Mus musculus: one gene and its partner. Each later gene encodes a partner of the first gene's protein in a complex. Links are inferred from orthologs where the notes say so. Each region holds a gene or a part of one and is shown on either strand. Other genes may lie near its edges.

The links.
Region 2: the proteins of Ppargc1b (region 1) and Ppara are in contact, whole or in part, in a crystal structure (PDB 3SP6), measured with the Homo sapiens proteins. The link is inferred for Mus musculus from reciprocal best matches to the Homo sapiens genes PPARGC1B and PPARA. Residues at the interface, in NP_573570.3 of Homo sapiens: Ser154, Leu155, Leu156, Gln157, Leu159, Leu160, Leu161, Thr163; in NP_001001928.1 of Homo sapiens: Val284, Thr285, Thr288, Glu289, Lys292, Phe297, Leu302, Asn303, Gln305, Val306, Leu309, Pro458, Leu459, Glu462, Ile463.

Annotation. Positions count from the first base shown.
Region 1 is NC_000084.6:61,306,256-61,310,055, reverse strand, and holds part of Ppargc1b (peroxisome proliferator-activated receptor gamma coactivator 1-beta), read left to right. Parts: intron 1-373; coding exon 374-410; intron 411-961; coding exon 962-1,023; intron 1,024-2,041; coding exon 2,042-2,849; intron 2,850-3,800. UniProt on the Homo sapiens protein: Plays a role of stimulator of transcription factors and nuclear receptors activities. Activates transcriptional activity of estrogen receptor alpha, nuclear respiratory factor 1 (NRF1) and glucocorticoid receptor in the presence of glucocorticoids.
Region 2 is NC_000081.6:85,734,181-85,738,714, forward strand, and holds the start of Ppara (peroxisome proliferator-activated receptor alpha), read left to right. Parts: upstream 1-1,595; 5' UTR 1,596-1,916; exon of another isoform or gene 1,917-1,992; intron 1,993-2,013; exon of another isoform or gene 2,014-2,207; intron 2,208-2,613; 5' UTR 2,614-2,698; intron 2,699-4,534. UniProt on the Homo sapiens protein: Ligand-activated transcription factor. Key regulator of lipid metabolism. Activated by the endogenous ligand 1-palmitoyl-2-oleoyl-sn-glycerol-3-phosphocholine (16:0/18:1-GPC). Activated by oleylethanolamide, a naturally occurring lipid that regulates satiety.

The DNA of each region.
Region 1 (3,800 bases):
ACCTGTTTCAAGTAAAATAACCAACAGAGATGGAGGCCCAAGGCTCAGAGCTTGTTAGTGAAGGGCCCGTCACTAGAACCATGTAGAATCACAGCTTGGGCTTGGAGCCTTGGCCTCAGTGCATGGCTACCGTGCTGCACTGTTTGGCCAGCAAGGGTTGCCTGGCCCATCTGCTATTTCTGCAAAGTGAGGAGATCTGCTGGCTGAGCCCCAGCCATGCAAGATGGATTTGAATTGCACCCGATCCTTCCCTTAGATGGCCATATGTCACCTTAAAGGGCATCTGTCCTTGGTGCCCCCGGAAATGTGAGGGCTCCCCAAAGGGGGAGAATGGTGTATGTGGGGAATCTTATTTTCTTTTTTGTCTTTTCAGACTCCTCCAGGTGCCTCATGCTGGCCTTGTCACAAAGGTAGATTTAAAATTATCAGTCTACTATACCATGAGCTTTTGTCTTAGATGTGTGCATTTGGGTGGGAGGCTATCAGCCCCTGAGCCTGGCCCCCATCCTCAGGGCCTGCCTTCGTTGTTATCTTGAGCCCTTGGGATCCAGACTCCTTCCAAGGGGGTTGAGTTTTAAAAGGGAGCCTCTGAGCTGAGGAGAAAGACAGAGAGTCAAGCCATTTCATAAGCTGGCATCTCCAGGACTCTAGAGGGTACTCTTGGAGATGGGGGTTAGAAGCCTATGATGCTGGGGGTCCTGGAAGAAAGTTCCTTCCCTCTCTGGGCTTCAGTTGTTCAATCTACAAATCAAGGAATCTACATCAAACTTTGTCCGAACCTTCCAGAAACTGCAACTTAAATTTCTTTAACAGCCAGGATGGGGCCCCTCAGCACATTCTCTCTTTCCATGGCAGACCCAGGGTCTATCACAGTGCCTTTTGCTCCCCTCAAAAGTCTGGGCCTGTAGAAGCCCTCCTACTGACCAGCCTTTTTCCTTTCTGTCCTCCCTTCCTCTACCAGCGACTCTCTTGGCAAGAAGAGCTTTGAGGAGTCCCTGACGGTGGAGCTTTGCGGCACGGCAGGTGAGCTAGGGGTTCAGCTGGTGGGGTGCCTGTGGGGAGCTTGCATGACCTGGGCGGGAGTGCATCTCCTCATGAACTGACCACTGCCCCCCTGAACTACTCTAGCATTGAGATGCACCAGGAGCATACTGGGAAGGGGGGTCAGGGCCTGGGGGCCAGCCCTTCACCTGCTGGTACCTGCAGCTGAGGGGCTACTGAGGTCAGAAAACAAAGACACAGCTCTGGAGAAGACCACAGTCTGGTGAGGCTAAACCTTCAGGAGAATGGTTAGCTGTGGGCTCCTGTCTGCTCATTAAGGCAGAAGGTCAGTGAGGCCTGGTCAAATGGTGGAGTGCCCAGGATGGGGCAGTGCCGAGGGGTTGAAGGACCAACAGGCATTGGAAAACAAAGAAGGATGTGTTTAACTGAAGAATTGATATGAGTAAAGACACAAAAGAATGAGAGTACAGGGTGCATCAGGGTTACTGGTCCGATGGTCCTATCTAAAGGCAAGACGTAGGAAGAAAGGAATAACGGTCCCCAAAGGACCAAGGCATAGAGGAGCCTGGCACCCATCCTGTAGGCTTTGGAAGGCATGGAGAGAAAGAAGTGGGTATTTTTTCATGTTCCTGTGGTGTGCTGGGAAGACCAGAAGACAAAGGCAGGTTGAGTAGCATCAGAGACGCCGAATGGTTGGTTTTCCCAATGGCACTGTTTCCTCTGTTCAGGCAGGGCTCTTTAAATGATTGTCAGTAGAGTAGGAACAGATATCTCTGACCTAGACACATTAGCTGCCATTACCAAGTCCCCAAGGGATGCCCATTGACTTCCATCTCATGACAGCTCCTATGAACAGGAGGACCCCTGGGCTACATACAGGCTTAGGCAGCAGTACAGACCAGTTAGTGATTCGAAGCCACCCACCTATAAGGGATCTTGTGACCCACGGCCACTTCTGTGTCCTTGCAAACAGAACTCTTAATGTCCTCCAAGAAGACCTGCCTTTCCCTCACCTGTTTTTTTCCTCTTGCCTGGGCAGGACTCACGCCACCCACCACACCTCCATACAAGCCAATGGAGGAGGACCCCTTCAAGCCAGACACCAAGCTCAGCCCAGGCCAAGACACAGCTCCCAGCCTTCCCTCCCCCGAGGCTCTTCCGCTCACAGCCACCCCAGGAGCTTCCCACAAGCTGCCCAAGAGGCACCCAGAGCGAAGCGAGCTCCTGTCCCATTTGCAGCATGCCACAACCCAACCAGTCTCACAGGCTGGCCAGAAGCGCCCCTTCTCCTGCTCCTTTGGAGACCACGACTACTGCCAGGTGCTCAGGCCAGAGGCTGCCCTGCAGAGGAAGGTGCTGCGGTCCTGGGAGCCAATCGGGGTCCACCTTGAAGACTTGGCCCAGCAGGGTGCCCCTCTGCCAACGGAAACAAAGGCCCCTAGGAGGGAGGCAAACCAGAACTGTGACCCTACCCACAAGGACAGCATGCAGCTAAGAGACCATGAGATCCGTGCCAGTCTCACAAAGCACTTTGGGCTGCTGGAGACTGCTCTGGAAGGTGAAGACCTGGCGTCCTGTAAAAGCCCGGAGTATGACACCGTATTTGAGGACAGCAGCAGCAGCAGTGGCGAGAGTAGCTTCCTGCTTGAGGAGGAGGAGGAAGAGGAGGAGGGAGGGGAAGAGGACGATGAAGGAGAGGACTCAGGGGTCAGCCCTCCCTGCTCTGATCACTGCCCCTACCAGAGCCCACCCAGTAAGGCCAGTCGGCAGCTCTGCTCCCGAAGCCGCTCCAGTTCCGGCTCCTCGTCCTGCAGCTCCTGGTCACCAGCCACCCGGAAGAACTTCAGGTATTCTTGGTGGCCCTGGGGAGAGGGATATCTGAGCAGCCATTAGGTACCAGAGGGGAGGAGCCCCAGGAGTTTGCTTTGAGGCTTAGGTTGCATCTCCGCTTGCAGCCCAGCCTTGGTCAGAAGGCATGAGATGGGCTCCCCAAGACATGGACAATCTGAAGCAAGTGAAGCCCAGCAGGGACCCCACAATCTGGCCCCCTGAGACATTATAGCCTAATGAACTTGACCCTTGTTTCCTCCTGTGTTTGTCAATGGATAGATTTTTATGCGAACATGCATACCTACATACTTGAGAAGCAACATGGTGTTAATGTATAAAGTCAAGCCCAGGGCTGTGGTTTTGATCTGTGTTCTGGAAAACACCCAGACTAAAAGCAGTGCTAGGCTTTACACCTGGGCTTGGTTCTGAATTGCTTACTGCTGTGAACAGACCCTATAAGAGCCCGGGGGTTGGGGGAGGGCGGTGCATCAGGAGCTAGTTTGAGCATCCCATCTGTGAGCACTAGACCTAGAAAGGGGTTTCTTCTATTGCTGTGATTAAAATACCACAACAAAAAGCAGCGTGCAGAGGAAAGGAGTGACTTCATCTTACAACTCTCAGGTCACTCTATCCCCAAGGGAAGACAGGGCAGGGATGCAAGGCAGGAACCTGGAGGCAGATTTGGGGGGAGAGCAGCTTCTGCTTTCTCTCGTCACACCAGGTAATGGGACCAGCTTCGTCCTGGAGAGACTCCAGAAAGATTTGCAAGGGGTGGGCGAGGGTGTCGCAGTTCTGAGCGCGAGGTTACCTGAATGGCCACGAGATGAAACTCTTTAGCCTTGAGCAGAGATGTGGAGTTGTCTGGGGAGCTTGTGAAGCTGCTGGGCTCAGGGGTCTGCTGAGCACCTGAGTGTGTGGGCGTGGGTAATTCGAATTTCTAGCAAGTTCTCAAGTTCTCAAAGCATTCT
Region 2 (4,534 bases), on another chromosome or scaffold:
CACCGTGTGAGTCCCCAGGTTGGAATCCAGGTCATCAGGCTTGGTAGCAAGCACCTTTACCCATTCAACCATCTCCAGGGTCTCAGTTTTGCAAGCTTCGAAGCATAATACAAATAGTAGCTATTTCCTGGCCACTGCGTGCAAGAAAAGGCGAGCTTGCCAGTAGGCAAGTAGGGAATGTTCTGTGGGTGTCTGGCAGGTGGGGCAGAGTTCACCACAGGTATGAGGCTGATCAGCAAAGGTGGGTTTAAAAGACGTCCCTGAATGTGCCTGTAGGGTCTGGTCTCCAGTTCCCAGGGTAAGGAGATGTGCGCTGAAAGTTTCCTTTCCCTAGTAGGCTCTCCTGGGCGCTCATCGCCACAAATAGCATAGTGGCAGGCCCAGCGTGAGGACAGACAGGAGGGCTGGCATAGCACACATTTCGTTCCCAAAGGAGCGGCGTCCTGGGGCGTTGGCACCTCGGGGGGCATGTGCATTCCGTGACTGAAGATCCAAGGACGACACAAGCAAAGCGGCTGCTCTGGGTCGCAGCCTGCTCCCAGTTGCAGCCTCCCGCCTGCGCTGTCAGTTGGCAGAGCCCCAGTGCCTGAGCTGGACACAGTCAGCCCCTCAACCCCTGAAGCGTATGCAGAGGGGCCACAGCCCGGGGCGGGGCAGAGGCGGAGGGTGGGTCAGAGCGGCCGCGCCTCCCTGCGACCGTCCTCGATGCCCTTCAGCCTCTGCCTTCCCCGCCCGCCACACCCACCCTGGCACCTTGGCCACCTGTTGCCGCGTGCCCCAGCTCGCTCTTCCTTTCTCCCCATTTCTCATCCTGGGACTCTAAAGATCAGATTCCGCCTGTCCGTCCACCTCCCCACGAACTCCCGGGACTCGGGGAACAAGCTGTGCGATCTAGACCAGCTCAACGAGGGCACCCGGAGGAAAGCTCAACCCAGACCCGCAGCCTTGAACTTCAGTCCTGGCCGGTGCGCGGGGCTGGGAGCAGGAGGGAGTGCGCGCCAAGGCGCACCCTTCCCACCGACTGTTCTCCCCCGTCGGGTGACCTTGGGCAGTCCCTTCACCTAACCCGCCTCAGTTTACCAACGGATGCCCGGGCCCCGAGGCACTAAATGGGCATCGAGGAGAGCTGCCCCGGGCCTCTTAGGCCCCGCCCTCCCCCGCAGCAGCCAATCAGACACTGCCGTCCAGGGGGTGTGTCTCGCCCTGAGCCGGGGCCCGGGCCTAGGGGGCGGAGTTTCCGGGGCGGTCACCTCGCCGCGGGACCCCGCAGGGGACGTCCGAGGGGCGGCGCGTGTCGTGGGGGCGCGGCTGGCACGGGCGCGCGTAGGCGGTGCCGGGCCGGGGCCCCGGACGCTACGGTCCCACGACAGGGGTGACGGGGGCGGAGGCAGCCGCTTACGCCCCTCCTGGCGCCTCCTCCTGGGCGCGCTTGGCCCTGCGGACCCGCAGGCGGAGTGCAGCCTCAGGTGCCCAGGGGCTGGAGGGCACGCGCGAGGGCGGGGAGCCAGGCGTCCCCTGTCCCGGGACAGTGAGGTGGGTGGACAGGGAGGGGAGGGGCTCGGTGGCGCATGCGCGCGGACTAGGGGCGCGGGTCTGGAGACCCACAGCCACTGGAGAGGGCACACGCTAGGAAGGGCACACGCGTGCGAGTTTTCAGGGCCCGCGGAACTGTCCGCCACTTCGAGTCCCCTGGAGCGCCGTGCGCCGGCTCCGAACATTGGTGTTCGCAGCTGTTTTGGGGGCTGGAGGGTTCGTGGAGTCCTGGAACTGGAGCGACGCTGGGTCCTCTGGTTGTCCCCTGGAGGGGAGGGCACACGGGCGGGGACATCGGGGCGCTCCCTTCTCACGGCGTGGTGCATTTGGGCGTATCTCACCGGGAGGCGTTTCCTGAGACCCTCGGGGAACTTAGAGGAGAGGTAACTGGAGGCTCCCTGACAGACTGATTCTGGGGTCACAGCCTAGGCTTTGCTGGGGACCTGAGAAACGCTGCCGGTGGGTTTGAGTCAACAGCAGCGGACCCTCTTTGAACACTAGTTTCCTCATTGCTCCTGATCGTAGTGGGGCGATGTTGGCCCCAACAGTAGGGTAGAGACGATGCCAAAGTTACCCTATGTCTCTGCCCTCCAGAGGCCAGTGCCACAGCGGGTCCTGTGTGGGGCCAGCTTTAGTCTCCTCTGTGCAGTGGCTGCGCGGCTGGCCTGATATGGGTAAAGGGAGCCGGGAGTGCCCGTGTGCTAGTCCGGAGGGTGACTCTGCCCCAATATCCACTCCAACTAGCCTGAAATAACTGCACCTCTCCTTTTCCCAAACTTTTTTTTTTTTAATTTAAAGGAGAGAATGTTCAGATACTAAAGAAAATCTACGGTGGTATATAATGTCTTTGGGGGCACTCTGCCACTGGGGTGCTCACGGGCCCCCAACCCCAACCTACTCCCTTCCTCTAAGGAAAGCAGAAAGGCTCCTTGGGGGAGGAGCACGGAACTTTCTTGGGCGACCCTGGGACACTGTAGTGGTTGCAGGCAACAGGGTCACAGTGACTTTCCCAAGGTGGTGGAGAGTTGGGGGAGATCCAGAGAACATATTGTAACCGGTTCCTTCTTTAACGTTCTACAGCCAAGTTGAAGTTCAAGGCCCTGCCTTCCCTGTGAACTGACGTTTGTGGCTGGTCAAGTTCGGGAACAAGACGTTGTCATCACAGGTAAAGAGGATTAATGGACGGCTTCCAGACTGGAATATTGTAAACGCTGTCTTTGGTTGCACTTCAGACTAGCAACAGGGCTTGGATAGTGGTTATTTTGTGGTGGAATAGTAAATGTCTTTTCAGGGCTCAGGAAGCCAGGTAAATGGGTAGTCCATGTTTCAGTTCTGGGAAAGTGCGTTTGCTTCATGGGAACCGCATTTCTTTATGGCAGGCTGCGTCGGCGTAGTTTAAAAAGGTGGTATTGCGTTAGAAATGGTGTTACTTGACTGGCTTATAAACTGGCTCATAAGACCGTCTCTTGGCTGTCTTCATATCAATTCAATGAAGTAGTCGGTTAGTTTCATCATTAGCCAGGCAGGGATGGCCCCCAAGAAGCAGCTAGAAGGGTATGACTTGGTGACCATATGAAAATCCAGAGCCAGTGGGACATGAACTGAGAGTGGAAAGCAAAGTGTCTCCTTTCCAACCTCTTAAACATGCATGGAAACACTCCAGACTCATAGTTTGTCAGGAGGGTAGGAGCCTGCGATGTAACCCATGCTAGCCTGGAACTTGCTATGTAGCAGAGGCTAGCTAGCCTTGAATTCTTTATATTCCCACCTCAGGCTCCCAAGTACTGAAAGCTGAAGTAGTTCTTTTTAACTTATGTTTGTCAAGCCTATAAACAGAGTTTATGTGTGTATATGTGTGTGCATGTATCAATGTGTGTTTGTATGTGTGTATGTGTCTAGGTGTGTATGCTATGTGTATGTGTGTAAAGGGTGGGAAGAGAATGAGAGAAGAGAAAGCATGTTTCTATTTTGTTTTATTAACTATTAAGTTGAGAAAAATATTTCCATGTGAATGTAAAAAACAATGTATTTTTGCTTCAACTGCCTGTCTAATAACTCACTAGGTTTAGATATAGTATTTAGCCAATGCATATATAGACATACGTTAGTATATAACTCATGCTTATTGCATAGCTTCCTGGGGTGGGGGCTACTGAGCCACCCATAAACAAGACAGCCATGGACTTGCTCATGAGACTGAGTTCCATGCTAGAATTATAAGAAACTTGAAGCCAGATGGTGGAGGCACACGCCTTTAATCCCAGCACTCAGGAGGCAGAAGCAGGTGTATCTCTGAATTGGAGGCCAGCCTGGTCTACAGAGTGAGTTAGTTCCCCAATAGCTAGGGCTACACAGAGAAACCCTGTCTGGGGGGGGGGGAGAAGAAAGAAAGCAAGAAAGGAAGGAAGGAAGGAAGGAAGGAAGGAAGGAAGGAAGGAAGGAAGGAAGGAAGGAAGGAAGGAAGGAGAAAAAAGAAAGGAAGAAAGGAAGAAAAGAAGGAAGGAAGGAAGGAAGGAAGGAAGAAAGAAAGAAAGAAAGAAAGAAAGAAAGAAAGAAAGAAAGAAAGAAAGAAAGAAAGGAAGAAAGGAAGAAAGGAAGAAAGGAAGAAAGGAAGAAAGGAAGAAAGGAAGAAAGGAAGAAAGGAAGAAAGGAAGAAAGGAAGAAAGGAAGAAAGGAAGAAAGGAAGAAAGGAAGAAAGGAAGAAAGAAAGAAAGAAAGAAAGAAAGAAAGAAAGAAAGAAAGAAAGAAAGAAAGAAAGTAAGTTAGTTGAAGGCTAGGGCTCTAGTTCAGTTGGAGGAGTGCTTGCCTGGCATGCACAAGGCTATTGGTTTGATCCTCAGCGCCTCATAAACCAGGTGCGCTGGGGCCCATGCTCATAATCCCAGGACTGGGGAGACAGAGGCAGGAAAGACAAAAGCATATGATAAGTTTGAGGCTGTGCCAGGCTACATGGAACCTGGTCTCAAAAACAAATCAATAGCCAGGCACAGTGATACGTTCT